Macaca mulatta: one gene and its partner. The protein of the gene in region 1 purifies or fractionates together with the protein of each later gene. This does not show direct contact. Links are inferred from orthologs where the notes say so. Each region holds a gene or a part of one and is shown in the gene's direction. Other genes may lie near its edges.

Region 1 (5,129 bases):
CCATTCTCCTGCCTCAGCCTCCCGAGTAGCTGGGACTACAGGCGTCCACCACCACGCCCGGCTAATTTTTTGTATTTTTAGTAGAGACTGAGTTTCACCGTGTTAGCCAGGATGGTCTCGATCTCCTGACCTCGTGATCCGCTCGCCTCAGTCTTCCAAAGTGCTGGGATTACCGGTGTGAGCCACCGCACCCGGCCTGCAATGAATTCTTAAACCTCAGGGAGCCAAATAAAAAGACAAGGCCTGAGGAATTCTTTCAAAAATTAAAGTAACATTTCATATTTACTTATTCTAACAGACAAAGAATAAAGAAGGAATCCGCTAAGTTGTAAGCTGAGGTGCAGACAAGTGCTGGTTCACAATGACATCCTAGAAGGAACGCTCTGGATAAGAGCTTCAAGCTTCTACGGTTTTCTGAGGAAAGTGAACGGAATCTAAACGTGTCCTATCGCTCAAAAAAAATCAGCGCTGTGGACCACAGAGCCTAACAGAGTAAAGTAATACAGCGTGCAGTTTGGCCACTAACAGCAAGAGTGGGAAGGGGCAAAGAGGAACCTTGATTGCCCGACACCAGGGCCACCTGAAGACTCCTCTTGACACTTCAGTCTTTCCATTTTGAGATTAGAAGCTTCAAGGACCATTAAATCGCTGCCGCTGCCACACCAGGCCCGACGGAGCAGAAAGGCTGCGCTCACCGGCGGAAGCGACCGGGTGCACACCTGCCGGGTAGGGAGGCCCACACGGTCACACCCCGCCCCGGCTTACCTGCCCTTCGGCGATTTTTAGCTTCAACTTCCATCCCTTCCCACCCATCTGGATCCAACCAAGCCCAAGGGCGGGGGAGGGAGAAGCTAGTGCCGCGAGGAAAAGCATCCCCGCCACCCGCCGCAGGCTTTCTCTCCTCCCTCCCCATTCCACAGAAGAGGCAAAGCCACAGCGCCTCTCCTAACCCTCGTCTCTAATGCAAGGCCTGCAATACTTAGAAAAAAATAATAACTGTTTTTAAGGAGAAGTAACATCCCCGCTCCCTTCCGCCCCTCACCTTCACGAAAGCAATCGGGGTTGTGGTACCTTCGATATCTAACAGGATCACGGTGACTTCGGCGGGGACCGAAAGCACGACCATTTCCCTTCCGGATGCTACGGGACTCGGCCTGCAGTCGGGGAGGGTGGAGGGCGGCGCCGGCTGCGGCTGCTGCCCCCGGTACCGTCCTGGGCTTCCGACGGCCCCGCGCGATCTTGGAGTCAGCGACCAAGTGCAGCCCGCCGCGCGTAGGGAAGAGAACACCTCTGCACACCTGGCACTGGAAAAGGCGGCCGCCCAGGAGCCCCTGAACTCGTGAGCAGGACGGGGCAGGAGCCCGAGACCACGTGGGCAGGAAAAGGGGCGGGCCGTGCTGGGTTCGGCGGGGCGGGGTGCGAAAGCCCAGCGCCAATTGGTCGCCGTCGGGCCTCGAACGCGATCCGTCAAAATGGGCCTCGCGTGGGCGGGAACAAAGAAGCGAACGCGGGAGCAGGATGCGCGAGAGCGCGCCCTCCGCAGACAGGTTGAGCGAGCGGGAGAGGCCCGGGGCACGTGCAGAAGGGAGCCCCGCGAGTGGCGCGCCGGGGATGTGAGTGCCCCTTGCCCTCTACTGCATCCAGCCCCCTCCCCGCCCACCGCCTCCGTCCTTGCATAGATACAGTCATCTGGCCAGCCTCCGCCCCTCCTCCCGGCCTCAGCCTGCCAGAGAGGCCGCGCGGGGCTCGGGCTTCGGCCGATCAGCCAGGAGGCCTCGCTGCGCCCCCTCGGCCCGCGCGCCCGTGGCCACAGCGGAAGAGACGCCCGCGCTGCGCTGTCCGGAGGGGCCGTCGCGCGCCCGCTTCCTGTTCGGCTGGTTCCTGCCAGCTCGAGGACAAAACACGCGTGCGCGCGGCGGGCGAGCGCGCTCGCCGCCTCAGTCGCCAGCGCCGGGCGCAGTCCGCCTTTTTCCGGAGTAGCCCGGCCGCGGTGCTAGTCGGTAGCAGCGGCCGCCGCAGCGGCTCCGCACTGGCGAACCGAGGGCAGAAAAAGGCGGGGTTCACGGCTCTTTGGTAGGAGTGGGCTGGACCGGACGCCAGAGACAAAGGCTCCCAAGGCAAGAGGGACTGTGGCCTTGCGTCGGCTCTGTTCGGGACTGCTGACCCCAGGACTTTACGCCCCTTCGTTTTTCTCTTCTGATTCTTCTCTTCTCCCAAGCCCGCGTCCCCTCACGCGTGGCCTCTCTCCTTGCCGGGAGGGCCGCGATGGAGGTCCCGCCCCGGCTTTCCCATGTGCCGCCGCCATTGTTCCCCTCCGCTCCCGCTACTTTAGCCTCCCGCAGCCTCTCCCATTGGCGGCCGCGGGCGCCGCGGCAGCTAGCCCCGCTCCTCCCTTCACTCGCTCCCAGCTCCGCCCGGCAGGGGGCGCGCCGGGCCCAGCGCCACGTCACCGCCCAGCAGCCCTCCCGATTGGCGGGCGGGGCGACTATAAAGGGAGGGCGCAGGCGGCGCCCGGATCTCTTCCGCCGCCATTTTAAATCCAGCTCCATACAACGCTCCGCCGCCGCTGCTGCCGCGACCCGGACTGCGCGCCAGCACCCCCCTGCCAACAGCTCCGCCACTATGGAGGATATGAACGAGTACAGCAACATAGAAGAATTCGCAGAGGGATCCAAGATAAACGCGAGCAAGAATCAGCAGGATGACGGGTACCGCACGCTTCTTCCCCCGCTCCCCCTCCCCCAGCGCGCCGCACGCGCCCTTCGTCCCTCGTGAGCCGCGCGCTGCCCCCATTCTTTCTCAGAGTCGATTCCCCGCGTGCCCTCTGGGCCCCACTAGCTTGGAGGGAAGAGGAAAGTAAGAGATCGAGGGGGTGACTGGAGAGACCCGGGAAGAGTGGGGGAAGGGCGGAGGGGTTGGAGGAGGAGGGCGGCGGCGTCTCTGTCCCGAGCGCGCAGGCGCCGCGTGGGACCCGGGGGGGAGGGGCCGGCCTCCCAGCGCCGCTCGCTGCAGCTGCCGACGCCTCTTCATTGTGTGTCTGTTACCACTCGGCGCGGTTTTCCTGGGAAGAGTTTTAGAGGACTCTGAGTTCGGGCACAAGCAGGCGACTGGTACCCAGATTCACAAAACGTATTATGATTGATGAGTTCTCTGGGTGGAACGTTGGCTTGACAGCTGAGGACGAGGATGGACCTAAGATAAGATGTGAGGGATTCATCTAGGAAGTTGGGCCTTGTAGCTGAAGCAATCTGGGCAGAACCTTTACTATATTTTATTGGTCTCCTTTGAGTTTTGCTTTATGTAGTGCGGAGAGCGAGCTGTCCGCTGGTTTGAGTAACTTTGTTGGGATATTGGGATTTTTGTGTGAAATAGATTAAATGTAAACATGGATTAAATTGCTTACACTTAGGGGATAAATGTTCCTGTTTTTATTCTACGATTTAATTCCAGAACTGAAGGACCATTTGAGTTACTGTTAATTTTTTAAAAAACCTTTTATTTCTAGTAAAATGTTTATTGGAGGCTTGAGCTGGGATACAAGCAAAAAAGATCTGACAGAGTATTTGTCTCGATTTGGGGAAGTTGTAGACTGCACAATTAAAACAGATCCAGTCACTGGGAGATCAAGAGGATTTGGATTTGTGCTTTTCAAAGATGCTGCTAGTGTTGATAAGGTAGGAACTGTGTTTTGCATTGTGCTGCTTTTGTAGTGTTTTGCACATTTTTCTGGGGGTTATATGCTGCTGTCAGATTAAATAAATCTGTCTTGTAGGTTTTGGAACTGAAAGAACACAAACTGGATGGCAAATTGATAGATCCCAAAAGGGCCAAAGCTTTAAAAGGGAAAGAACCCCCCAAAAAGGTTTTTGTGGGTGGATTGAGCCCGGATACTTCTGAAGAACAAATTAAAGAATATTTTGGAGCCTTTGGAGAGGTGTGTGATTATGTTTACACATGTTAAGCTTGATGTGTTTATAAAATGTTTAATCCTGGTCCGATTTATACAGGGCAGATTCATGTTTCGTGTGAGGGTAGGATTAAATGACTGCTCAAGTCGCTTCCAGGGACTGTACCTTGATTTGATTGCTGCTCTGATGGAAACCCAACTATCTTAATTTAGCCAAAACATGGGCACTTAAATGTGGTCGGTGTTTGGACTTGTTAGTTAGTGGCATCTTTGGGGTACAAAATAATATTAAAGGATGTTTTACTTTTCTCTCAATGCTTCAAATATACAACAAATCACTGAAGGCTGATGTTGATCATAAAGCAGTGATGTCTGTATAGAAGTCACCTGATAAGAATAACATGTTTAAGTTGAAGCCTGAAAAGTACCTGTGGCATTCTGACACTCTGGTAGCATTTTACAATTATGGGATGACCTTGAGTGTGCATCTCGATTTCAGATTGAAAATATTGAACTTCCCATGGATACAAAAACAAATGAGAGAAGAGGATTTTGTTTTATCACATACACCGATGAAGAGCCAGTAAAAAAATTGTTAGAAAGCAGATACCATCAAATTGGTTCTGGGAAGGTAAAGCCATTTAAGTACTTTAAATGAAAATTTTAAGGATTTCTTTTTTCTTTATTTTTTTATCTTTTAGTTTTTGAAATTTCTCAATGTGTTTGAGAAAAATAAAATGATTAAATTTTAGAACTTGAGTAAAAATTCTATTTTCGTGTTTTTTAATTTGTTTATAGTGTGAAATCAAAGTTGCACAACCCAAAGAGGTATATAGGCAGCAACAGCAACAACAAAAAGGTGGAAGAGGTGCTGCGGCTGGTGGCCGAGGTGGTACGAGGGGTCGTGGCCGAGGTGAGACTTAATTCTTGGAATATGACTCCATGGTTTAAGCTGTATACTGCTAAATATGAGTAGTCCTGTACGAAACTAAAACTTAAAACAATTCCAGCGGGAGGAAAATGTTCAGCTTAGTGGGGGTTGTGTGTGGTGGTTTTTGTTGTGAGCTCACTGGTTTCAAAAAACTGTTAAAAGTATGGCCACTTTGACAATTAGTGTCATCACTGACAGGAAAAGTGTACCATTACATGATGCGCCATGGCGTGATAGGTTTTCTTGGGCAGGAGTCCTTGTTTTAAACAGAACAGTATACCTGTCTTCAGC
Region 2 (5,256 bases), on another chromosome or scaffold:
CGCCACCACACCCGGCTACGTTTTGTATTTTTAGTAGAAAGGGGGTTTCACCATGTTGGTCAGGCTGGTCTCGAACTCCTGACCTCGTGATCCACCGGCCTTGGCCTCCCAAAGTGGTGGGATTACAGGCATGAGCCACCTCGCCTGGGCTGATGATGAACTTTTTATTTTAAAAAACCTTTGGCTGAGCGTGGTGGCTCATGCATGTAATCTCAGTACTTTGGGAGGCCGAGGCAGGCAGGTCACTTAAGGTCAGGAGTTCCAGACCAGCCTGGCCAACGTGGCAAAACCCCATCTCAACTAAAAATTAAAAAAAAGTAGGTGTGGTGGCACACACCTGTAATCCCTTTAGACTTGGGAAGCTGAGGCACGAGAATTCCTTGAACCTGGAAGGCAGAGGGTGCAGCGAGCCGAGATTGCACCACTGTACTCCAGCCTGGGTGACAGAGTGAGACTGTCTCAAAAACAAAAGCAAACAAAAAAACCTTCTTTCATTGCCAGACATGGTGGCTCATACCTGTAATCCCAGCACTTTCTCTGGGCAGCTGAGGTGGGATGACTCCTTGAGTCCAGGAATTCAAGACCAGCTTGGGCAACAAAATGAGACCCCATTGCTACAAAAAGAAAAATAAAAAAGTTATCTGAGCAAGGTGGCACATGCCTGTGGTCCTACCTACTCAGGAGGTTGAGGCAGGAGGATTGTTTGAGCCCAGGAGGTAGAGGCTGTAGTGAGCCATGTTTGCACCACTGCACTCCAGCCTGGGTGACAGTGAGGCCGTTTCTCAAAAATAAATAAATAATAAATAAAAAATAAATATTTAAAAACCTTGTTTTAATATAAGTTGGACAATTTATATATAAGAGCATTGGCTATAAATGTATGAAATTTATTCTACCTCACTATTATTCTTTTTTTTTTTGAGATGGAGTTTCGCTCTTGTTGCCCAGGCTGGAGTGCAATGGCATGATCTCAGCTGACTGCAACCGCTGCCTACTGGGTTTAAGCAATTCTCCTGCCTCAGTCTCTCCAAGTGGTTGGGATTACATGTATATGCCACCATGTCTGGCTAATATTTTTTTTTTTTTTGAGAGGGAGTCTTTCTCTGTTGCCCAGGCTGGAGGACAGTGGTGTGATCTCAGCTCACTGCTTCCTCTGCCTCCTGGGTTCAGGTGATTCTCCTGCTTCAGCCTCCAGAGTAGCTGGGATTACAGGCGTGCGCCACCATGCCCAGCTAATTTTTGTATCTTTAGTAGAGATGGTGTTTCACCATGTTGGCCAAGTTGGTCTCAAACTCCTGACCTCAAGTGACCTGCCTGCCTCGGCCTCCCAAAGTGCTGGTATTAGAGGCGTGAACCACCGCACCTGGCCAGAGTCTCTCTTCTTGATTACCTCAGCCAAAGTGTTTTCTGAAATGGTACCACAGATATGTGCTTCCAGTTCCGTTTGTAGTAGAGGGCATGGCATGTACCGTCATTCACCCTGCCTGCTCCATCTGCATCCCCCTCACATCCAGCAAGTTTTCCTTTGCATAGGGCTTATTGCTCCCCTGCTGATCACCTGCCAAAGCCTTCTCTCGGAGTTAACATCCTTGCCAAGGCCTAAGTGGCTTTTGAAGATCAGGCCCTGCTTAGCTCTGGGCTCCCGTCTTTCTTTTGATGTCCTCTCTACTTTTCTCAAACCTGTCAAAACTGGATTCGGACTCTGTGGCCCTGGGGTTGGAAACATGCTTCGTCTGCATCTTCCCAGGGTGGCACTTAGGCCTGCACTAGCTAAGGTAGCCCTGCGGCAAGGTCCAACCCTGCCTTATTGTTAATTTGTTTATTGTCTGTGTCCACTAGAGCTGGGGTGAGGAGGGCAGCCAGCTCAGACCTGGGGAGGCCTGGGAGGCTACGGCATCTTCGGTGTTGGGCAGTGCTGTTAGAAACCACGAACATTACTCATCTGGCAGCATGTGTGCACATGGGGTGAGCCGGGGGTCTCCTCGAATGCGGCGTCTACGCCCGGGGATTGGACGCACTGTTACCGATTCTGTCCTGGGAGATTCAGCGGTAACCTACCGGGCAGAGGCCGGCACGCACCCGTGGAGAAGCCCGCGCTCGCGATTCCTCCTCGTGCCAGGGCCCCAGGGCACGGAAGGCCCACCGACCGTGAGGCGGGTCAAGGGGTACACAGGGTGCGAGTTCGTTAGGCAAAAGCTGGGTACAGGCGCGAGCCACAGGCACGGGAACCTCGCGCCGACCGGGGCCCTAGGCCCGACGACCGCAGGTAAGGGGAAGTGGAGGCACACATGGCTGGGACGTGCCCCAGGCACCATCCGGGTGGCTTCGGGCGCGGGACGTCCGCAGCCCCGCAGCTCCCAGGACGCTCGACCATCTGCGGCTGATCAGCTTCGGCCGGTTTGGGGATAAAGGGGAGACAGGCGGCGCGGGGAGTGGGAACGCCTGAAGGCCGCGCCTCTCCTTTCAGGTCGGCCAGGAGCGCACCGGTAAGAGCCAGGGGGTAAGGGGTAGAAAGACGCCCACCTCTTCAACCCAGAGCTCGGGACTCCTATACAGTCCCATAGGGAACAGGCGGCCGCCATTCCCCTCCCCCACGCTGGCGGGTAAGGCTAGAGAACGGTTTCAAGGAAGACGCATGCGCATGAAACAATTATAAACCGCTAAGACTCCCAAGTTCAATATTCGCGGGAAGGCGCATGCGCAATAAAAAGCCCGGCGGGTTTATGGGTGGGGGTGCTGCGCCCAAATCCCAAGCGTGTAATAATCCGCCGGCGGACGGTGGGCTGGCTCTTGAAACTACGCATGCGCCAGAGCTCTTTGTGACGCAACGGGGCGGTGCGGGCAGCTGGCTGCGCGTGCGCAGAACTCGCACAAAGGGCCTTATTTAGGTTGCGCAGGCGCCCGCTGGCCATTTCGTCTTAGCCACGCAGAAGTCGGGTTTCTGGGTGAGTCTCGGTGGGTCCTCGCTTGCAGTTCACCGACCACCGTGGGCGCCGTTTTTGCGAGGATTGGTTGTCCTCATACCTCTGGGAGGGCCACGGGGACCTTGGCGAGCTGCGGGCTGCCATCGAGAGCCGCGAGTGGTTCGCTGAATGTCGGCACCGCAGCTGAGGCCTGCAGGCCGCGCCGACTCTATTGTGTGAGAAGTCGGAGGAGGCGGAGCGGAAGCGGCCGCCGCCATTTCCTTTCCTCCACGCTGGCTCGGCCCGGGCCCCCACGGTTCGGGGCGCCGACGGTTGCTGCTCAGAACAGCTTTTGGGGGTCCGGCCGCCGGACGAGGAGGTGTTGGGTATTGGAGCCGCCGGGGTGGGTGCATCCCCCCGGTTTTTGCTTGGTGGGGGGGCCGGTGCGGGCCCGGGGGCGCCTCGGAGGCGGAGGACAGCTTAATTGGCGCTCTCAGGTCTGGTCCTCCCCGCCTTGCAGTTTGTTTCGACGCCGGACCGCGTAAGAGACGATGATGTTGGGCACCGAAGGCGGAGAGGGATTCGTGGTGAAGGTCCGGGGCTTGCCGTGGTCTTGCTCGGCCGATGAAGTGCAGAGGTTTTTTTCTGGTGAGTTAGAACTAGGACGCGGGAGTTCGAGTTCGAGGCCGGGGCGGGCGGGCTGGCGGGCAGCCGGGCTGGGGCGGGGCGGGGCGGCGGGACCCGGGGCGCCCCCTGGCGAGGCGCGGGCGACTGCACTCACCGCCGTGTGGCTCGCGCCCGGCCGGCCGCGGTTACGCAATGGAATTTTCGAAAGCCCCGCCCGTCCTCCTGGCCCTGCGGGGGGAGTGCGGCAGATCTGGCAGACCCTTTGATTTCTTTACTACCTTTGAACACCAACTTTTCTTTTATGGATGTCGTTTTTCTTTTTCCTTTGTGTTGGGAGTCTCTGTCACCCAGGCTGGAGTGCAGTGGCGCGATCTCGGCTCACTGCAGCCCCCGCCTCCTGGGTTCAAGCGAGTCTCCTGCCTCAGTCTCCCGAGGAGCTGGGACTAGAGGCGCGCACCACCACGCCCGGCTAATTTTTGTTTTTTTAGTAGAGACGGGGTTTCACCATTTTGGCCAGGCTGGTCTCGAACCTCTGGACCTCAAGTGATCAGCCCATCTCGGTTTCCCAAAATGCTGGGATTACAGGCGTGAGCCACCGCGCCTGGCTCCGGTGTCTTTTTGCGAAAAGATGAATTGGCATAGGTGGGTTTCCTCCTCAATCTCGAGAAAATTGCCGAGTAATTAGACCAATAATAGTAATGTTTTTCAGTATCTTGAAGTGTAATCTCTTGTTTCCAGTTCTGGTGTTTCCTTGAAAAGGAGCATTCTTCGGAAAGTTAAAATGTCACGTCTTAATTTCAGTTTTCCTAATCAAGATTTGGTAATTGAAGAGTGTGTGCTCATCTAGTTCTTAATTTGGCTGACTATACAATTGAAAACACTGAAACCCAGGGAAGTGTTTTTGCAGTCCCTAGGTTTCCTGAATATTTTCTATCAGAATGTCCTTGTTCCCATTATTAGACTGGGAAAAATTAGACTGATAAAATTCTACTTGTATGAAATTGACAGCTTTTGGCAAGACGTTTGTAGTGTTGACTTACTATCTGAATTTAGCATTGGTAACGGAAAACGACCTGTAAAACAAGAACCAAGTACACTGGAAGCCACCTTGCAGGGGGCAACGCTGGGTTTGGCTTCAGCTGTGCAACTTGGAGCATTTTAGCTTGGTAACACTGATCCCCTTTCAGGTGAGTATTGGGCCTGTAATTTGGATTTGAATGAGAAACCGTAATGTGGCTGCTGGTAAGGTAAAACTTGACAAACGCGCCAGACCAGACCAAAGCAACTCGCAACGAAGTAGGTTTGCCATAAAGTCACAAAGTCCAGGCTTGATAATGTTCTGAGAAATTGATAAAAGATGTGTGATGTGGACATAAGTAGCAGGGACTTAAGAGAGAAATTCATTCTGAAACTGCTTTGAATATTGTATGTTGTTGATGGGTTGGAAATACATCACCTTGGGAATGAGGTTTTTTTTTTTTTATTGGAGTTCCAGGAGTTGGTAATACCATCATTATATGCAGGCTTCACAAGTTACGTAATTTGTAGTGGGGACACGGAATAGACATTTAATCTGTGTCACCCAGAGGTGGTTTTAGGTTTTAAATTCCGTATTAACGGTTGTTTTCTTTCCAGACTGCAAAATTCAAAATGGGGCTCAAGGTATTCGTTTCATCTACACCAGAGAAGGCAGACCAAGTGGCGAGGCTTTTGTTGAACTTGAATC

Evidence for each region. Proteins that work in one complex are often made in the same cells at the same time.
Region 2: the proteins of HNRNPDL (region 1) and HNRNPH1 fractionate together in Homo sapiens (co-fractionation; 3 studies listed by BioGRID and IntAct, with this or other methods). This does not show direct contact. The link is inferred for Macaca mulatta from reciprocal best matches to the Homo sapiens genes HNRNPDL and HNRNPH1.

Annotation. Positions count from the first base shown.
Region 1 is NC_133410.1:51,379,961-51,385,089, forward strand, and holds the start of HNRNPDL (heterogeneous nuclear ribonucleoprotein D-like), read left to right. Parts: upstream 1-1,740; 5' UTR 1,741-2,265; coding exon 2,266-2,708; intron 2,709-3,505; coding exon 3,506-3,674; intron 3,675-3,772; coding exon 3,773-3,934; intron 3,935-4,406; coding exon 4,407-4,538; intron 4,539-4,705; coding exon 4,706-4,820; intron 4,821-5,129. Other genes in the region: ENOPH1 (enolase-phosphatase E1), read right to left, coding at 1,043-1,126. UniProt on the Homo sapiens protein: Acts as a transcriptional regulator. Promotes transcription repression. Promotes transcription activation in differentiated myotubes. Binds to double- and single-stranded DNA sequences. Binds to the transcription suppressor CATR sequence of the COX5B promoter.
Region 2 is NC_133411.1:188,581,761-188,587,016, reverse strand, and holds the start of HNRNPH1 (heterogeneous nuclear ribonucleoprotein H), read left to right. Parts: upstream 1-1,864; 5' UTR 1,865-2,266; intron 2,267-2,910; exon of another isoform or gene 2,911-3,306; intron 3,307-3,423; 5' UTR 3,424-3,454; coding exon 3,455-3,551; intron 3,552-5,165; coding exon 5,166-5,256. UniProt on the Homo sapiens protein: This protein is a component of the heterogeneous nuclear ribonucleoprotein (hnRNP) complexes which provide the substrate for the processing events that pre-mRNAs undergo before becoming functional, translatable mRNAs in the cytoplasm.